4 linked regions of the Arabidopsis thaliana genome follow. The protein of the gene in region 1 interacts with the protein of each later gene in a pairwise test. Each region holds a gene or a part of one and is shown in the gene's direction. Other genes may lie near its edges. The genes, in order: AT3G46810, AT1G49580, AT5G14600 and UPP.

Evidence for each region.
Region 2: the proteins of AT3G46810 (region 1) and AT1G49580 interact in a two-hybrid assay, tested with the Arabidopsis thaliana proteins (one large-scale study listed by BioGRID).
Region 3: the proteins of AT3G46810 (region 1) and AT5G14600 interact in a two-hybrid assay, tested with the Arabidopsis thaliana proteins (one large-scale study listed by BioGRID).
Region 4: the proteins of AT3G46810 (region 1) and UPP interact in a two-hybrid assay, tested with the Arabidopsis thaliana proteins (one large-scale study listed by BioGRID).

What each region holds. Positions count from the first base shown.
Region 1 is NC_003074.8:17,236,177-17,243,214, reverse strand, and holds AT3G46810 (Cysteine/Histidine-rich C1 domain family protein), read left to right. Parts: upstream 1-2,591; 5' UTR 2,592-2,682; coding exon 2,683-4,743; 3' UTR 4,744-4,984; downstream 4,985-7,038. Other genes in the region: TOPP5 (type one serine/threonine protein phosphatase 5), read left to right, coding at 1-509, 595-768; AT3G46800 (Cysteine/Histidine-rich C1 domain family protein), read left to right, coding at 6,673-7,038.
Region 2 is NC_003070.9:18,348,468-18,356,583, forward strand, and holds AT1G49580 (Calcium-dependent protein kinase (CDPK) family protein), read left to right. Parts: upstream 1-2,856; 5' UTR 2,857-3,143; coding exon 3,144-3,707; intron 3,708-3,808; coding exon 3,809-3,939; intron 3,940-4,070; coding exon 4,071-4,112; intron 4,113-4,203; coding exon 4,204-4,312; intron 4,313-4,395; coding exon 4,396-4,474; intron 4,475-4,572; coding exon 4,573-4,869; intron 4,870-4,967; coding exon 4,968-5,083; intron 5,084-5,164; coding exon 5,165-5,272; intron 5,273-5,376; coding exon 5,377-5,439; intron 5,440-5,522; coding exon 5,523-5,690; intron 5,691-5,773; coding exon 5,774-5,917; 3' UTR 5,918-6,167; downstream 6,168-8,116. Other genes in the region: AT1G49570 (Peroxidase superfamily protein), read left to right, coding at 1-245; AT1G49590 (C2H2 and C2HC zinc fingers superfamily protein), read left to right, coding at 6,530-6,538, 6,647-6,847, 6,938-7,022, 7,413-7,508, 7,605-7,942. UniProt on the Arabidopsis thaliana protein: May play a role in signal transduction pathways that involve calcium as a second messenger.
Region 3 is NC_003076.8:4,703,724-4,710,992, forward strand, and holds AT5G14600 (S-adenosyl-L-methionine-dependent methyltransferases superfamily protein), read left to right. Parts: upstream 1-3,167; 5' UTR 3,168-3,339; intron 3,340-3,749; 5' UTR 3,750-3,794; coding exon 3,795-4,243; intron 4,244-4,332; coding exon 4,333-4,577; intron 4,578-5,036; coding exon 5,037-5,299; 3' UTR 5,300-5,440; downstream 5,441-7,269. Other genes in the region: AT5G14590 (Isocitrate/isopropylmalate dehydrogenase family protein), read right to left, coding at 184-306, 459-601, 679-713, 814-929, 1,016-1,084, 1,171-1,274, 1,355-1,443, 1,536-1,637 and 6 more; AT5G14602 (methyltransferase-like protein), read left to right, coding at 5,713-5,955.
Region 4 is NC_003074.8:19,953,510-19,960,841, reverse strand, and holds UPP (uracil phosphoribosyltransferase), read left to right. Parts: upstream 1-1,766; 5' UTR 1,767-1,835; coding exon 1,836-1,973; intron 1,974-1,992; exon of another isoform or gene 1,993-2,085; coding exon 2,086-2,187; intron 2,188-2,274; coding exon 2,275-2,353; intron 2,354-2,583; coding exon 2,584-2,642; intron 2,643-2,732; coding exon 2,733-2,810; intron 2,811-2,900; coding exon 2,901-2,982; intron 2,983-3,089; coding exon 3,090-3,138; intron 3,139-3,214; coding exon 3,215-3,276; intron 3,277-3,439; coding exon 3,440-3,507; intron 3,508-3,579; coding exon 3,580-3,635; intron 3,636-3,729; coding exon 3,730-3,777; intron 3,778-3,858; coding exon 3,859-3,928; 3' UTR 3,929-4,252; downstream 4,253-7,332. Other genes in the region: AT3G53910 (malate dehydrogenase-like protein), read left to right, coding at 396-417, 618-877, 942-986; AT3G53890 (Ribosomal protein S21e), read left to right, coding at 4,793-4,842, 4,957-5,089, 5,195-5,260; AKR4C11 (NAD(P)-linked oxidoreductase superfamily protein), read right to left, coding at 5,671-5,757, 5,857-6,105, 6,195-6,470, 6,639-6,726, 6,837-6,913, 7,248-7,298. UniProt on the Arabidopsis thaliana protein: Uracil phosphoribosyltransferase (UPRT) that catalyzes the conversion of uracil and 5-phospho-alpha-D-ribose 1-diphosphate (PRPP) to UMP and diphosphate.

The sequences.
Region 1 (7,038 bases):
GTTTCCCTCCTGCAGCAAACTACTTATTCTTAGGAGATTACGTTGACCGCGGAAAGCAGAGTTTGGAGACTATTTGTCTTCTGCTTGCTTACAAGATCAAATACCCTGAAAACTTTTTTCTCTTAAGAGGAAACCATGAGTGTGCATCTATTAACAGAATTTACGGATTCTATGACGAATGTAAACGAAGATTCAACGTGAAGCTCTGGAAAGTGTTTACCGATACTTTTAACTGTCTCCCTGTGGCTGCTGTCATAGATGAAAAGATACTTTGTATGCATGGTGGACTATCTCCTGAGTTGATCAATGTGGAACAAATTAAGAACATAGAGCGTCCAACTGATGTTCCAGACGCTGGTTTGCTCTGTGACCTTCTTTGGTCTGATCCTAGTAAAGATGTCAAAGGCTGGGGGATGAATGATCGTGGTGTCTCCTACACTTTTGGTGCTGACAAAGTTGCTGAGTTTTTAATAAAGAATGATATGGATTTAGTCTGTCGTGCCCACCAGGTTAGTACATTGTATAAATGTTTCCTCTAGTTTTTTTGTTTGGGAAATCGAATCTGCTGCTCAAGAACCTATAATGCTCCCACAGGTTGTAGAGGATGGGTATGAGTTCTTTGCTGATAGACAGCTTGTGACTATGTTTTCTGCTCCAAACTACTGTGGTGAATTTGACAATGCGGGTGCATTGATGAGTGTCGACGAAAGTTTAATGTGCTCTTTCCAAATTCTTAAGCCTGTGGATCGGAGGTCGCGGTTCTTTTGAAGAGAAAGAGGTACAGATTTGAGTGTTTCTCAAAAACCGTTGAACTTCCTCTTTGTTTCAGAATCTCAGCTAGCTATATCAGTTTCATCTGCAATATTATAGTTAAAGTTCATGCATCTCATAATAAGTCCATAACTAGCTTTCATCGAATCTCATGTTTCTTAAATTTTCGATTCTGATAGTTGCTCATTCGACTTACAGCGAGTCAAAGAGCTTTTAAAAGTTTGTTTCGCAGTTTCCATGTTTCATCTTTTTTGAGCTTTGAAAGCGTTGTTGCTCGTCTGAGCTCTTACAAGTTCACAAATTTGCTTTTGCAGTCCTTCTTAAGTTATAACCCTGATTCAAATCTTATGGGAAGAATGGGAGGAGAAAAAGCGACGACGGATGTTGGTGGCGGATAATTCTGAACCTCCACGAGTAGTCTCCGAAGTTGCAAAAGCAACAATATATATATTTACATGGTTATATCATCTCTGCCACTTCTTTTGAATATGATCTTGTTTCTTCAACTCAATTTTTTGCTCTGTTTCCTTCTCTGTTCTTTCACATGTCAGAGATACAAATCCTCTAAGTGTATATAATACTTTATATGTATGTATCAGAACCTCACTGCAGGATGCTTCAGTTCATGATTCTTATTAAAACAGAGGGTTCTCTAGACACTAATTAGCAGCAGATTTGTAATTGTGGCTGTGGTTTTCTCTAATTGACTCCACAATCATCGCATGTATACGACCACTCCTTAACATATATATTTACCTAAAAAGATAATACTATATTCTAATCACCCCACGCTGGCGATGCTTTTAAAGTTCAATTCATTACATACTCTATAGTCTATGTTATCGTTATTGAAATATTCAGATCACCATGCCCTACGAAATCAACACTTTAAATTAAAATGTTAATAATCAACGTATAAAATTTATTCTGACCGTTAATAAACTGTTAATAAAGTATCATAGAGAGCCATTCTCACTTTGAAAACGTTTTACTATGAGTATATGGTGTCGAATGGTTAGGCTATACTAACCAAAACAAATGGAAAGTATACACATAGTAATGCAATTGCAAATATATATTTTAGGCTATAATAAGCAAACGTTTTCAACCCAACTTTTGCTCTGCTTTGTTCTCATTCTCTGTTATTTCACATGTCAGAGTAGATACAAATCCTCTAGTGTATATATACTCTATGTGTATGTATCAGAATACTGCTGTCACTGTAGGACGTTTTTGTTCATGGATTCTTAGTAAAACCGAGGGTTCTCTAAACACTAGTTAGTAGCAGTTGTAGCTGTATTCTTTTTTAAAGGGCTTTGTTTTATCTGTCACATTGCAAACAATGACGATGAGACAACCCTAATGGAGAACCTGCTGGAGCACATTTGGTTGAAACCCTAAATCCTGGAAGAACACTTAAACTGGAGAAGATCCAGCAGCAGATCGATGGCTTTGTCGTTTTCAATGAGGTTGCTTCTAACAACTTGTAGAAAGATATTACAATTTAATAAAGGCCAAAGATAACACCTTCGTCACGTACATAGGATCCGCACAAGTGGAAGATAATTCAAATAGTCTACGTTTAATAAAGATTAGAGTAATGGTTGGACAAAGTACCGTATAGTTAGGATCAAATTATTTAACAAAGTATTAATTAGTATTGTTAATGAATTAAACTCGGAAAGTATCGATTGACATGGTGAGACATAGCTGTCTCTCAGTTGACATCGGCAAAAGAATATTTTTCAAGTGGCCTAGTGATAATTTAAAATATATGGATATATCTATAAACTATTTTACTTAGATCATCAATGTAAATTGTGAAAGGAAAACAAATTCATTTTTCTTGATAATAACATTGAGATCACTAGAGAAGAGAGATTGAGGTTTGATTAATTTAGTGAATTCAGCATGGAAAAAGTGGTGCTACGGGTTCATGACCATCCTTTGTTACCCTTTGAACGCTTTTATTTTGGCCGTTGTTCCGGGTGCTCACGTGAAGGCTACTTTTATGGAGGCTACCGTTGCAATGAGTTGGCGTGTTTTGCGGTGTTCCATAAGGAGTGCGCTGAGTCCAAACCCGAGATCAGCCACCATGCCCATCCCAAGCATCTGCTTAAGCTTGGCAATAGACGTCAACGTTGTCATTTGTGTGAACGGCCGGTGGGAATTGGTTATTTTTGTTCGATATGTGACTTTGGTATGCATTTGGTTTGTGCGAAGTCCCCACCACTCTCACTTCAGCCACAACTCTCTAGTATTGAGAATTACAAGGTGCATGAACATCCTCTTAAACCTTTCAAAACAGCATGGCTTGCAGAAACTGGCAATTGCAAAGGGTGTAACTACATTATCGGCAATGGAGATAGCGCTCCTTTTTATGAATGTCGTCGGTGTAAACTTTACATTCATGTGACTTGCCTTGAGCTCTTTTTCACCACAGATGCACGCCACAACTCTCATCTCAAACACCCTCTCAAATATCTCAAAAATGGACCCCCGAGCTACGCCGACCATAAATGCCTTCTTTGCGGAAGAGAGTTTGAAGATCAACAAGGCCAAAAATATGAGCTTTATCACTGTGATGTTTGTAACTTCAGCATATGCATTTCTTGTCAGGGAAACCCACCACCACTAGTTGTTGTTACTCCGAAGACCCACGAGCATCAACTTCACCTCATTCCAAGACTTCTTGATTTTACTTGCAATGCTTGTGGGACACAAGGTGACCGAAGCCCTTATTTTTGTCTTCAATGCAATTTCATGATTCATCGAGGTTGTATCGACTTACCCCGCATCATAAACATCAACCGCCATGATCATCGCATCTCTTACATTTGTCATCTCGGACAAGGGAATTTGAAATGCGGAGTTTGCCGCAAAACAGTGGATGGGTTCTACGGGGCTTATTCCTGCTCGAAATGTTCTAGTTACGTTGTTCATTCATTATGTGCAACTAGAAAAGATGTATGGGACATGGTAGAACTAGAAGGAACACCGGAAGAAGAAGAAATTGCGCCATTCGAGGTGGTTGATGAGAACACAATAAAGCACATGAGTCATGATCATGATTTAATATTCAACAATGATGGTATAAATCTCCATGAAAGCAAGCTTTGTGAAGCATGCGTCTCCCAGATCAATACTGATCCGTTCTATAGTTGTGAGCTATGCGGTTTTATTTTACATCAAACATGTGCTAATATGCCTAGGAAGAAAAGGCATGTTTTGTGCAACATACCCTTCTCTCTACAAACAGACGATAGCAAGGATTCTTCACGCCTAAGAAGAAAATGTAGTCTTTGTCTCCAACATTTCACTGGATTTGCGTATAATCTGCATATTGCGTATAACTCGCGTACCGAAGTTATGGATATACGATGTGGTTCGATATTTGAACCATTTGTTCATGAAAGGCATCCACATCCTTTATACTACAAGTTCTTCACCTTTTCGGCGGTTGCGAAGTGCGACATCTGTCACATAACAAGAAGGCATTTGTTATGTTGTGAAGAGTGTGACTTTAGGTTGGATTTCAGGTGCGCAACTTTACCAAAAAAAGTAATGAAGCAAAGGTACGATGACCATCCACTTTTCTTGTCTTATGGTGAAAATAATGTGGATGGTGAATACTGGTGTGACGTATGTGAAAAAAGGGTAGATGCAAAGACATGGTTCTATACATGTGATGCTTGTGGGGTCACTTTACATGTTTCTTGCGTTGTGGGTGACTTCTCCTATCATATGCCAGGACCATTATCAACCGTAGTTAGCGAATACAAAATGGTACCGCCCGCGGTAGTAAGCTTATACAAAGTGGTGCCAAACACTTCGATTTGTAGACCACTTTGCTCCAGGTGTCACACTAGATGCAAACTCCCTTGCATTCTTGAAACCTCCGAGGATGGTGTTAATGTTTACTTTTGTTCTAATGATTGTCATAAAAATCCTTGGGAGTCGTCGTATTATTAGTAGCGCACTTGGTTTATTTATTTCTTTCTATTTTCTTATTTACTTTTCAAAGAGTATTTTACTTTACGTTTATTATTAATAATGATAGGTTTTGTTTGTGAAACCTATCTAAACAATTGAGAGCGTTGAAGGATTTTATCGGGTTAGGCCAAGGGATAGTTCTCTTGGGAGAGTTTTTCTCTTGTTATATTATCGTTTTGTTTATCTACTATCATAATAAAAGTTTTGGTTTTGAATTGCATTCTATCTTGTACAGTTATCATCTTTCTTTTACCCAAAATTTGCTTTGCTTTCTTTTCATTCTCTACATTTTCACATGTCGATATATGAATCCCCTAGTGTTATATGTACAATTTATACATATATGTATCCGACATGCACTAAAGGGTACTTCCATTCATGGATTCTTATCTAAGAACACTAACACTTAAAACATAGTGTTCTTTACTAGTAGATGTTGATTGTATATGGAGAAAGCACCGAATATATGCTCTGGTTTCTCCGCTGTTTCACCTCTGGTAGCCCAATATTTAAAATTATAAAAATGGCATCTATGTTTTGATTTCCCGAGTGAAGAAATTTTTTAGGTGTTCTTCAGGATGCAAGCTTCCTTATATTCTTCAAATACAGGAAACTTTTGTTGTAATAAGTGTTGTGGGAACACTCACAACTATTGTGGTCATAATTTGTTCTCAATAGTTGTAGTGTATGATGATAGTAATGTTGTGGGAACACTTAATGTACAGTTTCTATCGTTGTTTTTCTCTTTTGCCAACCTCCGTGAATAAAAGAATGTTTTACATAAATTATAGTTTTTTTAAATACTTGCATTTAATTTGATCAAATCAGTATAGTGCTTTTTATATAATTAACTAGTGATCAAACTAATTTATTCAACAATTTTAGTTATACTGTCTTCCAAAAGCAGTGATAAATTTAATCTTATGGTACTTTCTTTTTTTGTTGCTATCGGAGGTTTCTTGCTTAACAAGCAAGTAGCGTTCTTCTCTTAAACTATTTCCCCTACGTAAGCCGCCAAACATGTACCGCCAAAGCAGCTTCATCATAACAATAGATTCATGGTTTTTCCGTTTTCAAGGAGTTTGCTCTAGGCTCTAGCAAATTGTATTAATATTCTACAATTTAATAAAAGGCAAAATAACACATTCGTCACAAACATAGGATCCGCACAAGTGGAAGTTAATATAATTAAGATTAGAGTTGTAATTGGGCAGACTATAAGTCTATAACGTACTATTAGGATCCAGTGATTTAATAACAGTATTATTGTGTATTTTTAATGAATTAAAATCGGCAGAATTAGCTGTCTCTAGTGGGATCTGCAACCACGGAAACAGCAGAGAAACTAGTGGCATCGACAAGTAAAACCCCGTTGCTCTTGTGTTGCTTGTATCTCAAGAAAGCACAGTTCTTCGCTATTTCGCCTCCGGGAACCCAATACTCACACCAAAACCTATATATGTGCAAGATGACGATCGTTTTGTTCTCCCGGATTAAATTGGTAGCCAACTAGCTAGCTCGTACGTTGAAAATAAAAGTCATGAAAGGGCCAAAAAAAATCTTATCACTAATCTTGGATCTACTCAAGTGGATGATTGATTATACATAATAACATAAACTATAAAGTAGTTGTATGGAATTTCTATAATTCTATGAGTACGATCAAAATATTTAATAACACAGATAACTATTATAGAGACGACTTTTATTTGGAGTATTAAAAATGAATAATTCCCGGAAAGTATGGATGTATGTCTATAAATTATTTTCTTCGATCGAGTTGAGAGATTGAATCGTTACAGCAATTAAAAATCTCATTCCATTTAAGAAAAAAAAGAAAAAAAAAAAAAAAAGTCACCTTTTCCTTCAAATCACAAGAGATTAGGTTGATTTGGATATCATTCCGCGATGGAAAAGGTAGAGTTACCAGTTCACGAGCATCCTTTGTTCATCTTTGATCGGATTTGTATGGACACTTGTAAAGGATGCAGTGTTTTTGGTTATTTTTACGGTGGCTATGTTTGCAATGAGGTAGGTTGTGATACCCTCTTCCATAAGGAGTGCGTCGAGTCGGTACCAGAGATCAAACACCCTTCCCATCCTCAACATCCTCTCAAGCTCAACCTGAAATGTGGACGGTTTTGTTGTAGTTTGTGTATAAGTGGATTGCAAGTTGGTTATCATTGTTCAATATGCGACTTCAATGTGCATTTGGTTTGTGCAAGAAGACCTCCATCCTCAACTTCATCCTCATCCTCATCTTCGCCGCTACCT
Region 2 (8,116 bases), on another chromosome or scaffold:
ACGCAGCTAGCTCAGTCAAGTTTGACAATGCTTACTACGTGAACTTAATGAACAACATAGGACTGTTGGATTCTGATCAAACCCTAATGACAGATCCTACGGCTGCCGCCTTGGTGAAGTCGTACAGCGAGAATCCGTACTTGTTCTCGAGGGATTTCGCAGTTTCAATGGTTAAAATGGGGAATATCGGAGTTATGACCGGAAGTGATGGAGTAATTCGAGGAAAATGTGGATTTCCAGGTTAAGTTATATATAGACTCTTCACAAAATCCAAATCAGTCTATTATATATCTAGAGCTAATCTAGCTTTAATGAGGAATCAAATAAACCAAAGTCTATGAATAAAATATGTTTTATATATATGGTGTAAAAGCGTCCTTATGTATCAATATATATATATATGGATCCCATAAACAAAAATACTTGGACTTGTATGTGTGTTACGTTTGTGTGTAATGGAAAATGTATTTGTCTTTGTATTTTTATATTCCAAAATTAAGTCGAACTCCCTCACTTGAACGAATATAAATATTCTTAGTTCTTGATTGGGGTTTAACTAATGATCATAATTTTACATCTTCTTCCGAAAATCATGGTTCTTTTTGTTGATATAACATACATTTTCTTAAAGTATTGAATATACTAAGTCTACATAAATATACACTATCTATCAAAAGTCAAAACAAACAAACATCTTAGCGTGAAAAAAGAAAACATCTTCGAAATAGTTAAAGTCTTAAAAATTGCAACAATTCTTAAATACACTAACTTTTTGTTTAAAAAAATAAAAGAAGATCTTAATTCTTAATGATGAAAATACATAGTTGAAAGAGAAATGATGAAAATACATCCATCAAGCCCAAATACAAGCAAACCCCATTTCATATATTTCCACTTTAAATTCAGACTTGATGCATATATTTGTTAATTAGAAAAATACGTTTGAACATATATACATTTATTTAAATTTTGCGAAAAAGAAGCAAATAAGCATTGAATGATGATATACATCCATCAAATCCAAATGGAAGCAACCAACTTTGTAGGTATTGTGTTTGTTGATTACTGATTGGAAGACATAAATTTTAAACCATTAAAGTTTCTCCAACGACTTCAAGAAATTATCAAGATTAGAGTTAGTGGAAGAATGAGAAATACTTCATACTATAAGCTATTTTAATCTATTATACATATATAGTCTAAATACAAAATAGTAGTTAGGTTACGTACACCATCATGTTAAATGCAAAACACAAACAGCCAATAGAGAAATATCATATAATTCATGCAAATAAACTAAACATTATCTATTCCACAAATGAGATTAATTTTTTATTTAAAATATATACATATAACAACTCGAGGTTTAGTTTTAAGCGAAACGTATATGTGTGAAAATTAGTTAATGAACCTTATTTTTTCTTCTTTTATAGCTGGTTATTTCTTAATATTCGTGTTAATAACATTAGTAAAAACACAGTAAAGATTTTTTTGTCTAATATGATAAGTAATAATTAATTAACGTTACATGTCCGAGACGACCGCAAATTTGGGGCATACCTCTTGGAGCATTCGTCATTGTCTCGTTGATGTGTTTTCATATAACGTTTGGATAATTTTCAATTTAATGTCAAGACAATTTTGAATGCTAGTTATTCTGATCTCAAAAGAAGATGCTGACCAAGATGTTTATCTCTGATGTCATGCCTTGCACAATTTCAAACCAACCTACTCCTCTTTCTATATATACGTGGAGCCAAGTTTGTCAATCTTATGATTTGGTGGTACCATAGAGTCGAGTTGGCTGGTTCTCGCAAGGAGTTTCAAAGAGAATTTCAACACATGGACGGTTGGTGTTTCACGATGAACTAGCTCAAGTGATCAAATGTGTGGTTAGAGTCACACTCAAACTTGTCTTCTTTTTGCATAACTAAACGAGACATAAGATAACTTATTCTTTGAACTCTCTCGATTGAGATTGGCATAACACTCATTTTCTAACGGCTTCTTCTTTTGATAATATCAAATACATTCTTCTTCAACTATCTTTCCAAACTTCCAGTTGACCGAATATAACAGGAAAGGAATGAACGAACACAGACTCAAGCATACCACATTATTGACGTCTAATCGACGTAAAGATTCACCACATAATTCACTCCTTCTCAGATTCTGACACTTCTCACCTTTAAAACATTATGCAAACATAGTTTGGGGATTGTCGTTAGTTGACTCTTAGTTATTTAGTATGTCAATTTTTGTTTGTTCCAAACTTTCAAGAAAAAAAAAATGAATTTGATTTATTTTTTCTATCAAAGATATTCGTAAATAAAACAGATATTTCTTCTTCTTTGTGGTAACATATTTTTTGCAAAAAACTTTTACGAAAGAAACTTGTAAACTCTAGAAGCATATAAATAAAATAAAGTATATATTGGTTAGAACCTAATTACTAGGCTAAAAACTACAATTCATTATGATATTTTTTAATTCCAAATCTATACAAAATTATTTCTTACATAAATATATATGTAGACATGTATTCAATAATTTTCATGATAAAACATAGGAGTATTTTTTACAACTAGAAGGTTACATGTACTTAATTATCCTTAATTGTACCCACCAACTGTCAACTATATATACATACTCTATTTTTTTTACAGCAGCTATAATTTTCTTTATTTAAATTTTGTAAAGGTTCTGTTACTTCATTAAATTCAATTTACACAAACTTGTACAAAAAAAAAATGATCTCACAACCGTTGAAAAAATGACCTCATTTAAAAAATATAACAAAAATAAAATATGGGACATGAATGACAAACATAACAGATCGGAAATATATTTAAAAGACTGCAATAAATTAAGGTCATTAATACGTGGCCGGAAGCAACTAATTTACTAACCAATGCACACATCTACTTGCTTCGTCTTCTTCTTCCTTCTTCTTTCTACCACCATTTTCAGATTCAAAATTCAATTCTAACAGTTTCACTTCCCCTGCTCCTCTCTCTCTCTCTCTCTCGCTCTCTTTCTCATGTGATCTCTCTCGCTCTCTCTTTCTTCTCTAAAAGCCAAAACTTCGATGGCATTACTGTGATTTTCCTCATAAAGTAAGCTCCTTTTTTTCGCCGGAGATTATGGGAGGCTGTACTTCCAAACCCTCCACTTCCTCCGGCAGACCTAACCCTTTCGCTCCCGGTAATGACTATCCTCAAATTGACGATTTTGCCCCTGACCATCCCGGTAAATCACCAATTCCTACTCCTTCCGCCGCAAAGGCCTCTCCTTTCTTCCCCTTTTACACGCCGAGCCCTGCTCGCCACCGCCGCAATAAGAGCCGCGACGTCGGCGGAGGAGGAGAGAGCAAGAGTTTGACTAGCACGCCTCTCCGTCAATTACGCCGTGCGTTTCACCCTCCGTCTCCGGCGAAACACATACGGGCGGCGCTACGGCGGAGGAAAGGGAAAAAGGAAGCTGCTTTATCTGGGGTGACGCAGCTAACGACGGAGGTACCGCAGCGTGAGGAGGAAGAGGAAGTAGGGCTTGACAAAAGATTTGGTTTTTCTAAAGAGTTTCACAGTAGAGTAGAGTTAGGGGAAGAAATTGGACGAGGACATTTTGGGTACACTTGCTCTGCTAAGTTCAAGAAAGGAGAGCTCAAAGGTCAAGTGGTTGCTGTCAAAATCATCCCAAAATCGAAGGTAACAAAACTTGAGTTTAGTTTCTTGATCTTGATGATTGCATACTCTCCATTGTAGTGTTAGCTGATAGAATTGAATGTGTTTTGATTCTTTTTTGGCAGATGACAACTGCAATTGCTATAGAAGATGTGAGAAGGGAAGTGAAAATTCTACAGGCTTTATCTGGACATAAGAATCTGGTACAATTCTATGATGCATTTGAGGACAATGCAAACGTCTACATTGCAATGGAGTAAGATCATTATTTTATCATAACCTTAACCATTTCCTTGTTTGATGTTGAATTTAGTTAGGTTTTAGTTATGAATTTGGTAAAAAGAACCTATTGTTTCATAATTGGATTTAAGTAGTTTGAATTTGCAGGCTATGTGAAGGTGGTGAGCTTCTTGACAGAATACTAGCAAGGTGTGTGTCTGTGTGCTACTAAAGAGTTATCGATACTTATGGCCAGAGATTGTTCTTATTTTATAAAAAGATTCATCGTTTTTTTCTACAGGGGAGGGAAATACTCAGAGAATGACGCAAAACCAGTGATTATACAAATTCTGAATGTGGTAGCTTTCTGTCATTTCCAAGGAGTTGTTCATCGAGACCTTAAACCAGAGGTGAGGCACAATTTTGAACTGGAAAGAAGATTATGTTTTACTTTTATGTGTAGAATGTTTTCTGATCGCTGCTTCATCATCAGAACTTCTTGTACACTTCCAAGGAGGAGAATTCTCAGCTTAAAGCGATAGACTTTGGCTTATCAGACTTTGTCAGACCAGGTTCATCATCACACATTTTACTATGTCACTATTTCTCCAGTTCTTTTTCTTCTGGTTAGTAAACTAAAAATGGTATTTTGTGCCCCTTTTTTTGAAAGATGAGAGACTAAACGATATAGTGGGAAGTGCATACTATGTAGCTCCCGAAGTTCTACACAGATCATATACAACAGAAGCGGATGTGTGGAGCATCGGAGTCATAGCATACATTCTACTATGTGGTAGCCGTCCGTTTTGGGCAAGAACTGAATCCGGAATTTTTAGAGCTGTTCTTAAAGCTGACCCGAGTTTCGATGAACCTCCTTGGCCCTTCTTGTCTTCTGACGCTAAAGACTTTGTTAAGCGGTTATTGTTTAAGGATCCCCGGCGAAGAATGTCAGCCTCCCAAGCCTTGAGTCAGTCATTTTTAATTTCACAGCTCTTTATAGTTTTATGTCTCCTGTCTTTTGGTAGTCATAAATCACCAAATTCAGTTCCTATTTACTTTTTTCAGTGCATCCTTGGATCCGAGCTTATAATACGGACATGAATATCCCTTTCGATATCTTGATCTTTAGGCAGATGAAGGCGTACTTGCGATCTTCTTCATTACGCAAAGCTGCTTTGAGGGTATGTTTTAGGCATTCTTTTAAAGTGTCGAAAAGAGCATTGAAGATTACTTTCTCACTATTATGTGCTTTCTTTTCACAGGCGCTATCGAAGACGTTAATCAAGGATGAAATTCTTTACCTGAAAACTCAATTTTCTCTTCTCGCACCAAACAAAGATGGCCTAATCACAATGGATACCATTAGAATGGTTTGTGACACTATAACTTCTTTTATATTCCTTCCTCTTGAGAAAAAAAGAGAAACACCGTAGTAATCTAATCTGTATTGCATTTTTTGTTTCTGTTTAAACAGGCACTTGCAAGCAATGCAACAGAAGCAATGAAAGAATCTCGGATCCCAGAGTTTCTTGCTTTGGTAAATGACTGTGTTCTCTCGGATTTTGATAAATGCTTTAACAATTTGGTGTTAATGATCCTTCATTGACTGGCTTTTTACAGCTAAATGGACTTCAATACAGAGGAATGGATTTTGAAGAGTTTTGTGCAGCTGCTATAAACGTTCATCAGCACGAGTCGCTTGATTGTTGGGAACAGAGCATTCGACATGCTTATGAGCTTTTCGACAAGAATGGAAACCGAGCTATTGTCATCGAAGAACTTGCCTCTGTAAGTTAAAGCATCTGTCTTCAGCTTAAATACAAAAATATCGAAAAACAGATCCTCTAAAACGACATGCTTTTGAATTGCAGGAACTTGGTGTTGGACCATCTATACCGGTACATTCAGTTCTACATGATTGGATCAGACACACTGATGGAAAGCTTAGCTTCTTCGGGTTTGTTAAACTGTTACATGGAGTCTCTGTTCGAGCCTCGGGGAAAACTACCCGGTGAAGATAACGAAAACAAACATGACCTAAGCGAAATCGTAAAAGAAGATGTCAAAACCTTTACTCTAAATCTTGGATTGGTATTGGAAATGTAATAGTTGGTCAAAGACTGTACAACAAATGAAAAGTTTCTTACAAGAGCAATTCTAAAAAAAAGATTGTTGTAATAATATAGTAACCACAGATACTTTGATACTCTATGTGAAGTCAAGAAAATGAAAAAGAAAATTCCAAAAAGATTTGATTTTTGTCTCTCTTTCTTCCCAATGATTATGGAATCAGCGAAATCTTGGTTATTTCCGGTTTGTTACTGTGCTTTAATTTGTGAGATCTGAGTCGGTGTAACCAGTGAAAACCGGTTCTAGTGATGGAAATAAATTAGAATTTAGAAAACAAACCAAACCGATTTTCTTCTCCCCCAATTTTATATTTTGCTTCTCCTCTCGAGTTTGGGATTCGAGTTTAAGGAATTAGGGTTTCTAATCTCTCTCTCTTTCTCTCGAGATTTTTCTTCACTTAGTTCTTGATTCTGATTAAAAGTTGATCTTATAGTTCCGGTAACTTCGTTTTCTGGGTTTAATTTTCGATTCAATCTTCATCTCCTTGATCCACAGCCATGACTGAGGTAAATCAAAATTCGCATCTTTTCTCTCCAAATCTCTTTGAATTACGAAACCTCTGTCTTGTTTCGTAATTGAAATTGATCTTGAGTTTGTTTTTTGTGTTATTTCAGTATTGGGTAAGTCAAGGGAACAAATGGTGTGAATTCTGTAAGATATGGATACAGAACAATCCAACAAGTATTAGAAACCATGACCTTGGTAAGCGTCACCGAGAATGTGTTGATAAGAAGCTCACTGATATGCGTGAGAGGAGTGCAGCCAAAGACAAAGAGCTCAAGAAAAACGAAAAACTGCTTCAACAGATCGAAGCTGTGAGTAATCATTCTTGTTTCTTTTGCCAGTGATACTTATTCTAACGTATTTATTTCTGATTCCATTGTTTATATCTCAACTTGTTTCAGAAAGCAACTCGTAGCTATCAGAAAGATATTGCAACTGCTCAGCAAGTAGCTAAAGCAAACGGTGCACCAGAGGATGGTACATCCGGTAAGTATCTCTCTCTATGATGTCATTAGTATTTGTTCTTCGACTTATAGCTGCTATATTCAGGGTTGTTGCTTAGCTTTGGATCTGTTTGTTATAGACTTAACATTACTGAGGTCGTAGAGTATGTGTGAATTGGATTTGTGAATTGCTTTCATTGACCAAAAGTATGAACAAACCAAGCAGCGTCTGATTCTTCGATTGTCATATTACACATCTTTGCAAATGACTTATAAGTTTTAATGCCTATAACCCTATAGAGAATCATCACGAAAGAGCGAAACGGTTGCTTCTTTTGAGTCACTCTCAGGTTCTTTCATCATTTTGATTGCCATTTTTCTTAGCCTTTTTCATTTATACATATACCATGTAGTAACCATATTGTTATGGCAGATTGGATGCTCGACAGTGCTTCAGGCTATTATTACAACCAGACCAATGGTCTGCACTATGATTCACAGTCTGGATTCTATTACAGTGACTCAATAGGTATGTAATATATATCGAGTTTTTTTTATTTGTTTCCTTGCAAACATGATTGTATACAATTTCGTCGTGTGTATGCTTACACGGGTAATGAAACAGGACATTGGGTGACACAAGACGAGGCCTACGCTGCGGTTAAAACATCATCAGGAACCAAAGTACCTCTCGTGAAAAAGCCTGTATCTTCTTCAGGAGCTGGACCAAGTGTGGGGAAACCACCTGGCCGTCTTGTCACAGCTTCTTTAAATCCTAAAAGAGCTGTGAAAGGAGCGGCTTCATCTGTTGATCTTGGCAACAACAAGAGAAAGAGGCAAGATGAGAAACCGAAGAAAGTATCTGCAGAAGAGAAAGCTGCATTGAAGGCAAGAGAAGCTGCTAGGAAACGAGTTGAAGATAGAGAAAAACCATTGCTTGGTCTTTACAATAGACCCTTTTGATGCATCATTGGCTTGATCCTATATGCAAAAGGGAGAGGCTAAGCAGAGAAGAGTGATGATTGATCTCATTGTGGCGGTTATTTCAGTTATTCCTACATGACAGTTTATTCCAAAACTCTCTGGTATTTCTGGGAGCATTGGTCTTGTGTTCTTCTAACTGTTGTTCCAGTCATA
Region 3 (7,269 bases), on another chromosome or scaffold:
GTTTTCTATTAAAATACACAACTTAATTAGAGTTTTCAGCACATTCATCAGCTTGGAACAGGATCAGTTTGGATTTGATTTCACATTAAAGTTCAAGACAGATTAAGCTCTTTCGTATTTCATGCACATGACCAGATTGTAATAGAAAAGTTGCTGCTAGTGAGAAAAGGAAAGACTACTTACTTGGGACCATGGATTAAAAGGGCAAGATCCTTGGTCATTTTCCCTGTCTCAACAGTGTTTACACATGACGACTCGAGCTTCTTCACGAAATCCATTAATTTCTCGTTCTTATCCAGTTTCGCCCTTGAGAAGCAAAAAGGGTAAAAAAAATCCATCAAAATGAAAATCAAGAGAAACTAGGTTACAAGACACAAGAACGTTGTCAGTGTAAATGCATAAAGAAATGCAGAACTCAGTTAACTAGTAATGTAGACCGTGTGTGAAAGGCAAGAGACCTGTGTTCTAAGCCGCGTGTCCATGCAAATATTGAGGCTATGCTGTTAGTACTGGTTTCTTGTCCCTTTTGGTGCAGTCGGAAATGCCGAGTTACTGTTCCATGAGCCGCTTCCGACTCGAGTGTTTTCCCATCAGCGGACAGCTGAACAAAACATATCATATCAAGACTTTCATTTGCAAAGAAAAATTGAATATTGGCTTTCGGTTAACGATACAAACCAAAACGGAGGTCATGAGGCCTAATGAGCCAAACCCTACATTTAGAAAAGAATAAAGAAAGGAAGCATTAAGTATCTTAGTTGCTGTATCGATACAAAAATAATAATTTTAAGAACTATATTTTTTAATTTATACCTTGGGCAAGAAGATCGCTTTGAACATCACCGTCGTAGTTTTTGCAAGCCCAGACATAGCCACCTTCACTTTTGACTGCGTAAGCCACCATGTCATCAATCAACCGGTGCTCGTACCTAAACCAACAGTATTATTCACATATTACCTTTAATGAATATGTAAAGAAAAAGGACGCAGAACACAATTTTTTAAGAAAAAGGACCAGATTGAGTGCTCTTCAAACTTTTGCTTCCAATTCGCCTCATAAACTTCTTGAAATATGTCCTTAAATCTGTATTGTTCCACCACATATTAAAGCAGCTCGCTTGCTGAAAAGTGAAACCCAGACTTCAAATCACCAAGAAGATAAAAACAAACCTGCCATCATATTTCTTGAGAATTGTGTTCTTGGTGCTCAAGTATAATGGCCATTTCTTAGTTAATGCCATCGCCATAGATGACTCAGCAAAAGCTCTAATTGACTGGCATGTCACAAAACCAGCATGGTTGTCAGAAACCAAAACCATGCCAAAACTAAAGCCAGTTACTAAAAGAGACAGACCTCATCTACGTTGTACATAGCAAGTGCGACACCTGGGCCCTTGAAATCATATACATCTAGCTCCACAGGTGCGTTTCCATCTTCTGGGACTAATTAGACAAGAGATGTATCCACTTAGAATCTGAACTATATGATTGAAGAATCCTCATTGTCTAATGAATATAGTTTGGTATGATCTTACCAAAAACCATTTTCAACTTTCCTGGCCCTTTAATTACTGTATCAGTGGCACGATACTGGTCACCAAAGGCATGTCTACCAATGCATATAGGCTTTTCCCAACCTATAAAGACAAAAGATTTGAGTTCTCATTTGGTATCTCAAAACAGATCCTAACACAGATTCATAACAAGGCAAATAAATTTACCAGGAACAAGCCGGGGGATATTGCTGCACATAATAGGTTCACGGAATACGGTTCCTAGAAAATATAGAACACTGTGTAAGAAATGTGTAGATACTAGATTGTAAAAGAACCTGCTAACAGGATAAAATAAAAAGTCGCAAGCAATTTAACCAAGATATTCCTATTCAGCAAACATGCATTGTTTTTTGACAATACAGAGACAAACCATCTAGAATGTTTCTGATCGTCCCATTAGGACTCCTCCACATTGATTTCAGTCCAAACTCCTTCACTCTACCCTCATCTGCCAAAAATAACATACAGAAGATGTAAAAATGCTTCCTCTGATCGGAACAAGCAGCATATGTGTTGCGATTTGCGAAGGACATCACATACCAGGAGTTATAGTGGCACATTTGATAGCAACATTGTACCTGCAAACATAAAAGTTTTAAGCGCGAAATCAGCTTATTTCACATAGAAATTAAAATGTTTTCTGTTACTAAAAGAATCTAAACCATAGAAAATGCAAAGAATCAATAGCACTTACTTAAGAGCTGCTTCTGCACTTTCAACTGTAACCTTGTCATCAGTAGCATCGCGATTCAGAATCCCCAAGTCGAAGTACTTAATGTCCAAATCCAGATAAGGAAGAATAAGCTGCAAAGACAAGAAATCAGACATGTGAGCTCTGTCAAAAAAAAATGAACCAACTGTTGCAGACTTGGTGATAAATTACATCCTTACTTTCTCCTTTATCATACTCCATATCACCCTCGTCATTTCATCGCCTGAATTTCCACAAAATATAAACAAATTAGAAACATTCTCAAAGATACCAAATTCAGTAAGAACATAAACAAATGACTTATACCAATCCAACCAATTATCTGGAAACTACGATCAAATGTAAGTAAGGAACACTGATTGCGCAAAGAATCTCACCATCCATTTCAACGATAGGATTCTGAACCTGAATTCTATCAGAACCGCCTGAAGAAGCAAAACATCGAACAGCTGATGCGCGATGAAACTGAACGGGAAAAGTCACGCGATTCCTCGAAGCGCCACTAGAGAATATACCGGAACTAAGAAATCTCGAAGAAACGAACGAAGACGATAAACCAGCAGAGGTTGAAGAAGATAACATGGCGGTGAGGCTGGCACGGTACGTGAAAACGCCGTGCGTGAGCTTATTCAGCATCCGAGACTCCGACCTCAACCCAAACTCTCAACTTCGATCACTGAATCAGTGAATCTGCAGCTTTCGGTCGGCAAGTTTATTGCTAAAGTGTGCTCTGAGCTCTCTAATAATCGACGATTCCGGCGAAAAGGCAAGGTAAACAAGAAGGAAAAGAGAGCCGTATAGATTATTTCAGTAGGCCCAACATAAGGCCCAGTAAATTTTTCTGTCTATATAAACCCAAACCGGATTTGCCGGTTCGAAGGTACCAAATCTGTAATATGGTCCGGTTGGTCTCAATGTCCGATTTGATTTGAAAAAAGGAAAGCGAAAACCCTACTTAGAGGTTTTATTTCTTTGTCTGGTCAGATTTATTGTTCTTCCTTCTCACAAAACATTATTACCCAAACTCCATTATCAGCTCAAGTTCTTAGCTTTCTTCGTGATTATTCCTCTGTGAGTATTTCTGTCGTTTTTCGCTATTGTTAAACTGTTTCTTTCAGCTTTTTATCTTATAGAAGCTGGTAATTGTGTTTGGTTCCAGTTTTTTACCCGCTTGTATTAAAAAATTGTGTCTCTTCGTTGAAGTTAGGACTTTTGGATCCGTGAATGGGATTTTTCTAGCTTTTTTCTTAAATTTTAACTTAATCAAACTTTAAATTGTTTTTCTTCTGTGCATCTAAGCTAATTCATTACAATGATTTTGAATCTCAATGTGTTTGATTGGCTGTGCAATATTGCGTAGAATGCGTAGCTTTGGATTGATAGCTAGATTGGGAATATATATCGTGATTTGTGAGAATTCATTGTTTTCTGAGTTAAAAAGTGTGTTGTTTAGTAATTAACAATGAGACTTGGAATTGCAGAGCAGAAGCTGGAACTCAATCTACAAGTGATTTCATAATCTCAAGATGTTACCAACTGAGTCAAAGAAAGCCTTTTCATTCAAAAGGTGTATTGAAGATGGGGACTTAGTTATTGTTTACGAAAGACATGATGTGATGAAACCAGTTAAAGTAAGTAAAGACGGTGTGCTTCAGAACCGTTTTGGTGTGTATAAGCACTCGGATTGGATTGGGAAACCATTAGGGACGAAAGTATTCAGCAACAAGGGTAAATTTGTGTACCTGTTGGCTCCTACTCCTGAACTATGGACATTGGTTTTAAGCCACAGGACTCAAATTCTTTACATTGCGGATATTAGCTTTGTGGTTATGTATCTAGAAGTCGTGCCTGGCTGTGTTGTTCTTGAGTCAGGCACAGGTAGTGGTTCGCTTTCGACCTCACTTGCTCGAGCTGTGGCTCCAACTGGACACGTTTATTCATTTGATTTCCATGAGCAGCGAGCTGTCTCTGCAAGGTAGAAACTTTCGTTTTCTTTAGCTATCTCGTTGTGCTTTTCTTTTGAAGCTATAGTATTTATTCATCCTTTACTTTACTTTGCAACAGGGAAGATTTTGAGAAGACGGGCATAAGTAGTTTAGTAACCGTAGAGGTTAGAGACATTCAAGGAGAGGGTTTTCCTGAGAAACTGTCAGGTTTGGCTGATTCTGTGTTTCTAGACCTTCCACAGCCTTGGCTTGCGGTTCCTTCTGCAGCAAAGATGTTAAAGCAGGATGGAGTTCTATGCTCTTTCTCACCTTGCATCGAGCAAGTACAACGGACTTGTGAAGTCCTCAGATCAGATTTCATTGGTAAGTTTATTCTGATTTACAACATCTCTTTCTACTTTCTTCTCCAACTCAAACTAAAAGAGCTCTAGATCTACACATTATCCGAATGCTCTTGCCTTGGAAGGATCCTAAAAATCAAAGTACTAAAGTAGTGAATTTGGGACTGAACCTCTCCTCGATTTTCAAATCCTAGTGGCTAGTACTAAAATCATGTTGTATAGACTGAAGTTCTGTTCTTTAGTCTACAATTTTTTCCAATATGTATCATCGACTTTCTATGGTCACACATCTTTGGATTAATAAGTCGAAAGGATTGCTTTAAGTAGATAAGTATCTTTAGAGAAATAGTTTGACATTCTTTGGCCTTGGAAAGTCAGGGGAATCAAAACCAACTGTCATAGGCATATAAGTCCTTATTTCCTTGAGAGTTTCATTCTTTCTTATACCGGTTTTTGCTCATGATGAGTTTGTTTTTTGCAGAGATAAGAACGTTTGAGGTGCTTCTCAGAACATATGAAGTGAAGGAAGTGAAAATGGATACCAGTAGCATGGTTGGTGAGAGCCACGAGGAGGACAATGAAGGAATGAGGCCTTGCAAGAGAAAGCACCGTTCAAACGAAAACGACACTGTTTCACAGGACAACTCTTCTAATGCTTCTTCAGTCGTCATGGCTCGGCCTTGTAGTGAAGCAAGAGGTCACACCGGTTACTTAACGTTTGCAAGACTCCAATGTCTAGCTTAGTCCAAATTCTCCAACTACATTATGATATTCATGTATTAGATATTTTCATGATTTGTCTTATTACGCTTTCTTTTTGTTAAAAAAATAATTGCTGTGAATTTGTTTCTAGAATACAAAATTCGAAATTTGGTAATGACAAAACCAAAATCCAAAATTTTGAAATATGATAAATAGTAGTTTCTAGAGATAAATTGTTCTACAAGTAATATATAAATAGAAACGCGTTTCCTTTTCTCGATGGGAGAAGGAGACATGTAATGCACTCTATAAATATCGAAAACGTCTGTTTAATTTTCTTTCTCTTACAATTGTCTATTCACAAACCCTAGAGATCCATTCTTCGAAAGCCTGAGATCAAAATCCAAATTCTTTTTTCCTCTTCTTATAATTTTCCCTTTATCCATCAAGAAATTATGTGTCCCTTGAGATTTGTATTAGTGTTCTTCTCGGCGGTACTCGCAGGATATATCGCGTGGAGGACGGTGAATTCTACGCCGGAACTATTCTCAGACGAGTTATTACAAGCCGAAGCCAAGGAAAAACAAGGACTCGATTTCAAGAGAAAGATGGATAATGGGTTATGGACGTTCGTTGATATGGCTAGCGGAAGATACCTTTGGAGAAATCTCAAGGAGATGCGTCAGAGAAGTCAATGACCGATATAAACAAAGTTTCGCCTGTTTGGCTTCTGATATGTAGAAAGTTGAGAACAAGAAAAATTGTTTCTTCGTTTTCGTAAATCTTGTCCGAATTCATCTGAATTTGGTAGTTTCATTCATTCTTTAATTTGGTATTCATGTACTTGAATTTCATCGTTCGTATAAATAAAGAAACCTTATTCTTCCCGCCAACTCTAATATATTAATCTGAAGGTAAACGAACGAACTAGATGATAGAGATCATATCAAACCCACAAATTTAACCATAACCAACCTTAATACATAATTACATACTAAAGAGTAAAGAGTTAACAAATCTTGTAAAACAAGTTGATAAAGCCTTTTACAAAGCTTAAGTCTTAAGATGTGAATAGCTTAGCTTGTGGCTTAGGCCATTCACATCGGTAATGATATGAGTAGATTGGAATTTCTTTATACATAATTTTGTTTTTCTAAAGTAAAAACATATAGAGGAAATTATGGCCTACTTTCAGAAGGTTTTGGCTAAAAAAAAGAAACCAAACTTATATAGAGAGATAGAGATTTAGGACAACAAAAAGCACCATATAATATAAGTTTTCATTGTTCATATAGTCCTAAATCCTAATTAGTTATGCTTTTGTTTCTGCAATTCTGCTTGGATATGTTTGTATAACTTTCTTGTAATTTGGATGACCAACTATTGTATCTGATTTCATATCAATGAATGAATCAGATGTTAAAAAAAAAAAACTTGATTCAATCTGTATAGAGTGATTTTTAAGGGACTACAATAACATGGGCCCAAATAAATGTTTAAGATAAGCTAAGAGAAGATTAAGCCCAATAAGGAATTGAGAGGGCCCTCGATATTATATTAAAAGAAAAGAAATGTAGCTGGAAACGAACCGGCACGGATTTCACTCCTTACTTTTCTCCACTCCAGTCTCTCTCTTTTCTGCGTTTCCTCTTCTCTCTGTGGCGTAGAGTTATAGAGAGGAATTTAGGTCTTCTTCTTTGGTTTTTCCTTTGCTCTTCATTCTCATACTCTCTCGACAGTGAAATCAGGTTCTTGTTTTTTTTCGTAGACCTACATTTTTCGAATTTCGTTTTTTTCTTCGTGCCGAAATGTCGATATCTCTCTTTGTCTTTGCCGTACCATTTTCTGTAGTTGGGGATTTTAGCTGCATTTTTTATTTTCCTTAGGTTCTGGGTTATATTTCTCTGTTTGTTAGTGTCTTCTCTTGTTGTCTGAAGAGTAACGAGGTCGAATCTGTTCTTCTGCATGTTAGGGTTTTTGTTGGCGTTGTGTCTCAACCTGTGGTGTAATGA
Region 4 (7,332 bases), 2.7 Mb from region 1:
ACATCCTTCGATTACTTTTACAATATAGCTGTATCAATTATCTTGCATTTGTGCAATTATTATATTGAATTTCAATTGAACCAATTATAAAATTTATTATGTAATTTAGTATTATATATTTTATCAATTATAAACAATTCATACTTTTTGCTATTATATATATAAAAAAATTTTAATTTTTAATTTTACTAATTGAAAAAGATTATATCTAACCACCTAACGACAACTCCTTTCTCGGATCAAGTTTTTTCTTGGTTCTTCTTTTCTCGGGGTACTTCCTCTCGGATTCTCTATGTCTCTTAACTCGGTCTAACCCGCTAAAGCTTAGCTCACATGCGGGTCATAAAATCCGATTACCTTTTGCGAAGTATGACCGAGAGTTGAAAGAAATTCGGATGTTCCTTAGAAACTCGGACCGTGAGTCCTTCTTTCTCGTTTAACTTGGAGTGTTCAATCGTCGGGTTGGAAGTGAATCGGATGATAATCACCTTCCTTCTCGTCTTTGTCCTCCGTTTTAAGTTTTTTTTCTTCCGTGAATTCTTTTTTTCTCTTCCTCTTTCGCGGGACTTAACATTTCGAGTTATCTCCGATCTAGGCTTCCCGATCTTTCACTTCAGCATACGCTATGATATCGTTTCTAAAGTCACTCATTCGTGCTCTGGACGGAGATGATGACGTCTTCGATTTTGCTTTTGTGGCCTCTTCGGTCACCGAGCTCCCTTATTTTGCTACGAGGACAAAGATTGGGAAGAAGAGAATTGAGGAAGTGATAGATTCAGATCTTCAGGGACTCGCCAAATACGAGGAGAGAGCGATTAAAGCTATCAAGCCGAGAGTGAAAGTTACCATTGAGAAAGACATCACTTTGCTACAGAGGGTAAGTGAATCTTTCTTACATCCACAAGACATGGTTCTATGTGTGTTGTTTCATCTTTCTCTAGACTTTTGTTGCTATTTCGGTTTACAAACTTTTGATTGTGGTTTGATCTTTCTCTAAACATTTTTTGCTGTATTTGGTTAAAGACTTTTGAGAATCTTCAAACAGGGCTTAGGACTTCTTAATTGTGCCTGAATTCTCAGACAAAGAATCCGTGTCTGGTTTGTACAGTTTCAGAGATTTGTTACAAAAACTGATGAATGAGTTGAAGAGGAGAAGAGTTAAGGAGTCTAGTCTAAATAAGTTTTCAAGTTTATTGTAATAGTAAAACCTCTATAAATTAATACTCGATAAATTAATAATCTATATAAGATTAATAATTTTTTCCAGTCCCGAGTTGGGACTGTAAAAAGTGACACAAATTGATAAATTAATAAAATAATAATTTTTTTGAAAATCCTATGTAAATATATGATCCCATCAATATTATAAATTAGTAATTGTATAAATATAAAATATATATATATCTAATATATTATATGTAAGAAATTTCTAATATTTTTTTGCTTAAACTCGTATTTGTTCTTATTTGAATTTAGTTATAATATTTTACTGTATCAAAACTTTTGATATTGTTTTATAGACATGATAATTATTTTTTACTTGCAATTGGTTTTAGAAAGATATTCTCTATGATGAAAAATATCTTGTAGAAACTTTTAAAAAGTTACTACATTAGAAAACTCTCTATGTAAATTAATAAATTATTTATTAATTTATTCCTTAATTTGTAGATTTCTGTTTGGAAAGAAATTGCTAAAAATTAATATAAAAGCCCAATGGGCCGTGTAATAAGTAGACCCAAAGTTATTCGGTACAGTAGTGACGACCGGTTAATCTTCGCCCGCGCTATCGTCATTGCAAAAATCTCGAACCAGATTCGGACATCTCGTCGAAAATGGCGTGCTCAATTGGTAACGCTTTCAGGTGTTCTTCTGATACGCTGCGTTTTGCTCCCCGACAACAATGCAGCAGCCGCCTAAACCCTAATCCTTCCTCTTTCCTCTCCTTTAATTCCTCCCCAATTCTCGCACAGGTATCGAGTATATATATATATTTATTCTAATGTCCAAAGCACACTTTTCCAGTAACGCCTTTTGCATATTCAAACTGAATTTTGATTTTCGAATTTCTGGATTATTTTAAAGAATTTGGGTGCTTCTTCTTCGTCACTTTCCCGACGGACTATACGAGCTAGAACAAAAATGGCTGCGTCGGAGGCTTCCATTAACGGGAGCAACAGGATGCTGGTAATAAAACTCTAGGATTTCAATTTTCAGATTTTTTTTGAGTTTGATTTGAAAGTGAAAGATGTGAATTTGATTCTGGTGTTTCAGGTCTTTGTGCCACCACATCCTTTGATCAAACACTGGATCTCTGTTCTGAGAAATGAACAAACTCCTTGTCCTGTTTTCAGTGAGTAGATAAGATTCTTATGAGTATTTCTGCGATTTAACCAGTGTTTGTTGTTAAAGAACTGAATTTTACATCCATTTTTTTTTTTTTTTTTTTTGATTCGTTGGACAATCTTTAGCTCTTAGATTGGTGTTATCTGCTACATTGCGTTTGAATATGAGTTTTTTTAGGTTTGCTACTAGTATAAGTCTGTGTTGATCTTTAAAGCTTGAGTTTTTTTAATTATCTAGGGAATGCAATAGCTGAACTAGGGAGATTACTCATGTATGAAGCATCACGAGAGTGGCTGGTGCGTAGAATTTCACATCTCTATTATTCTTGAATTCTTCCTACCCGTTTTTTGCTTATTGTTTTTTGTTTTTTGCTCTATGCGGTTAAGCCAACTGTTGTGGGTGAAATAATGTCTCCAATGGGTCCTGCTTCTGTTGAATTCATTGATCCTAGAGAGCCTATTGCGGTTTGTTTATCCCTCAAACTCTTCCTGTCTATATTTTCTTTTCGACCTTACATGTAAGCGTTTCTAATTCTTGGTTTTGTCTCTGTGTAGGTTGTTCCGATATTAAGAGCTGGTCTTGCTCTTGCGGAACACGCATCCTCAGTTTTACCTGCTAATAAAATTTATCATTTAGGTTAGTAATCTAGCTATATATCATCTCTTGCCTGAACTTCGGATGTCAAAAATGAAAACTTTTATCAAATAGCTTATTGATGTCCCCGTGCTTCTTTTCTTTTACAGGAGTAAGTAGAGATGAGAAAACACTTTTACCATCGGTGTATCTTAACAAGTAAGAACTTCTCTGCAGCATTGTGTTTGTAGTTACTGAAGTGTTTATAATAACACCTTTGATACATCTTCTTTAGGTTGCCTGATGAATTTCCCAAGAATTCAAGAGTATTTTTGGTCGACCCAGTGCTTGCCACAGGTAAGAAAGTCTTATCATTTTAGCCACCTCCATATTAGAAGTATAGTTAGGGTTTGATGTTCAAATGTACACGATAATATGTGAATGTGAACGCATGACATGGTAATACGAATGTTTCATAGCTAGAAGCGTAGGTTTAGTAACTTAGTAACTTGTATTTTAGGTGGTACCATAATGGCGGCGATGGATCTATTGAAGGAACGTGGTTTGTCTGTTCAGCAAATCAAAGTGGTAAGCATATATATAGGAAACAGCTTTTGTCAGAAATCGAAGTGTTAATTGTTTTGATTTTTCTGATTACAGATTTGTGCGATTGCTGCACCTCCTGCACTATCGAAGCTTAACGAGAAATTCCCCGGGTAATCAATAGCAAAAGATCAACTCTCACCTTGCTTACCATTTAGTTAACTCTCTTTTTACTAAACTGTTTGGCTACTATTTGAAACATTTCAGGCTTCATGTATATGCTGGAATTATTGATCCTGAAGTCAATGAAAAGGGGTAAGTCATTAGGTTCTTTGGCTTTCCATATGAAAACTGGCGATTGTATTTTAATGTCCTTATGTATTTGTCATGAACTAGGTACATAATCCCTGGGCTTGGAGACGCTGGAGACCGCAGTTTCGGGACAGAAACACATTGGGTGAAGTGATACTTGTATGAGTTGTTAAACTTTAACAGTCACAATCGTTAGATTATATATTGTGTCTCTTGTACTTTGTTTTTGATGTGTGATTTCAGGTTCTTGAGAGGGTTTCGATAAAGAGTCAAAATTTCACAAACAAGAAAAACTGAATTCCTCATTATTACAAAACAGAGAACAAACTTGTCAACCATTTTATGTGTATCATTCTCAATTGTCTACCACAAACCATTTTGGGAAAAAGTATGCAAGAAAATCTGAAAAATTCATCCATGAAGCAAACATTTGAACCAATAATAAAAGTTTGTTATCAAATTGAATGAACTTAAGTTACTACCAAACTGAACCAGTATTTATGGTTTGGTTACGTTCGATTCCGGTTACAATTAACTGTCGGTACAATTCTGGTTGAAAAAGTTTAGTATTTCGGTTTGATTTAATTTTGTATACCGCTCTAATTGGATCGGTTTTTATTGCTCTTCAATTAAAAGTTGAAGGGTATAGTAGTCATTCCTATGAAATAAGCAAACCCTAGCTCGCTACTATAAATCTAATAAACCTATGAATTAAGCAAACCCTATCTTTGTCGCCGCCAAACCTCTCTCAGATTCTTCTTCTTCCTCGCAGGTGAGAATTTCTCCGTAGTATCTTAATCTCCTTTCACTGTATTGCTAATTAACGCATCGGAATAATCTAGGTTTCGATTTCAGAATTAGTTATCTCGTTGTGTCTTTTGTTGATTATATATTATTGTTGAATGTGATCAATTATTCTTGATGAATCTCTTAATTCGAGGTTCTATTGCTCATCTGATTAGTTTTTTTGTTTGTTTACTTGCTCAGATCGATTTTTTTTTGAAGCTAAATCTCAAAAATGGAGAACGACGCAGGTCAGGTCACAGAGCTCTACATTCCAAGGAAATGGTATATATCAGCTCTCTTTGTTCTCTGTGTAACGTTTGATTAAAATCTTAAGCTAATTGTCTTAATTAAGTAGCCTAAGCTGATTCTATTGTTGTGTAATGGTAATTTGTTTAGCTCGGCAACAAACAGAATGATCACATCAAAGGATCATGCTTCAGTTCAGCTTAACATTGGTCATCTTGATGCTAATGGTCTCTACACTGGCCAATTCACCACTTTTGCTCTCTGCGGATTTGTCCGTGCTCAGGTTTGTGAATTTCCACTCTGCTAATTACTTTATAATCATCTCCACAGTTGTTATAACAAAGTTCATGATTGTATATGTATATTGACATTATGATTGCATCTGCAGGGAGACGCAGACAGTGGCGTGGACAGGCTCTGGCAGAAGAAGAAGGTCGAAGCTAAACAACAGTGAGAGACAATCTGACAATGTCATAAGCTCTTGTTTGTTTTTTGAGGTTTCGATTTATTAGCTATGTGGCTTTGTCATTGAATTGAAAATGTTAGTTTCTCTTTATGCGAATTCATGTTTTCGATTTTTCTGCTTTATTAAAGATAATTATTAGGCTTTGAGGCCAATGGAATCAGATTCTATCTACAGTCTAATACTCGTCTATATTTCTCTTTCAAATATAACTGTTAGATTATCTATCATCAACCTCTCGGATTAGTGATTTACTGTATGAACATAAGAGATTGTTAATATGTCTGCAAAATCCTACTTTTATTGAAAATTGAATCGTTTACACATTCTCGATCAAAGCTTAAAGCAGTGGAACTTTGTTCTTTTTCAACTTTAAAATTCAACAAAAGACATCTTTTGATTCAGATCTCACCATCCCAAAGCTCTTCAAGTGTTTTATAAGGACTCAACGTCTCATGAACAAACGACGTGCCTTGGACTAACCTAGCCTGCACAGAGATGATTCAAAATCCAAAATACAAGAGGTTACAGTTAAGACTACTCACAGATACGAAATTTGCAGAAATGTGGTTTATTGTTTCACTTACCTGCTCTATCTTGGAAAACTTGTCAAACATTTCTTTTGGAATAGACCATCCCAAGACATCAAAGTTCTCTCTGATTCTTCCTTCATTTGTGCTTTTGGGAAGTATACTATGACCCATTTGAAGTCCCCATCGAAGCGCGGTTTGTGCGGGAGACTTCCCGATTTCTTTAGCAATCATTTCAATAACCGGACTCTTTAAAACATCGGCCTTCACCCACGTTGTTCCAGGAGATCCCAATGGCGAATATCCCTGCCACAATCAACATTCACGAAGTGTATATAAATATGACATTCGGACTCATTAAATGATTTGGAAATGTTTAGTGTTTTAAAACTTACTGAGAGGTGGATCCCTTTGGACTTGCAAAACTCATGTAGCTTATGTTGTTGCCATGAAGGATGACATTCCACCTGGTTTACAGCGGGAGGAACACGAGCAGCCTCCACAAGATCTGAGAGTTTCTTTGTAGAGAAATTACTTACGCCAATGGCTCTTGCCTTGCCTGAATCAACCAGTGCTTCCATTGCTTTCCATGTGCTCGGAATATCGATAGGCATAATGTTCTCAGGCTTAAAGTCAACAGTACCTTTCTTCAACCGAACAGGCCAGTGCATCTTGAAAAAAATATCAAATGAAACAAATCAAAGTATAAGCAAGCATATGTATAGTTTCAAATCCAGAGATCCGGACAATTCAGGCTAGATATTGAAGAAAGGAACGGATCTTGAAAACTGTTAGAACTTATTAAAAAATCAGCATTTGTTCAAAGAAGTCGTGCTTACGAGATACAAATCAACATAATCAAGCTGCAGATCCTGAAGAGTTCTGTTCAATGCGTCCTGTACATCCGGAGGGTCAAGATCAGTCAACCTGTGCTTGCATAATTTGTAGATTTTAATAGGTTAAGAGGCTTAAGCAAACGAGGGAAACTGAAAATGCATAAAAATGATAGAGATGCAGAAACTTCATGAACAAAATACCAGATTTTTGATGTGATGAACAGCTTCTCACGCTTCACTACGCCATCATCAAACAACTTCTTCAGAACTTTCCCAATCTGCAGGTTAAAAAAAGCTTTCAATTTCTCCATCAAGAAAAACAAAAAGCCACATTTCAAATGAACTTGTAAACAGTCTATAACAAATAACTCCATTAATCCTACATAACTTAAAGCTAGTTTAAGAAAAAGATACACAAGACAATGTGTGCAATTGTCATTCCTAAATATAAATTGGTTAACCTTAGTAAGAATTACATAAAACAGCCAATCGAGTAAGAACGATCATACTATATACTGTTCTATATAAAGGCAAATCAAGTAACGAGCCGTCAAAAGATGAACTATATGAAGCAAACTATGGAAGATACAGATTCGGATCGGTGAATTTTACCTCAATTTCATTGCCATATCTTGAAGCACAATCAATATGCTGATATCCAATCTGCAGAAAACGAAATGATTATTAAGTTCTTCTG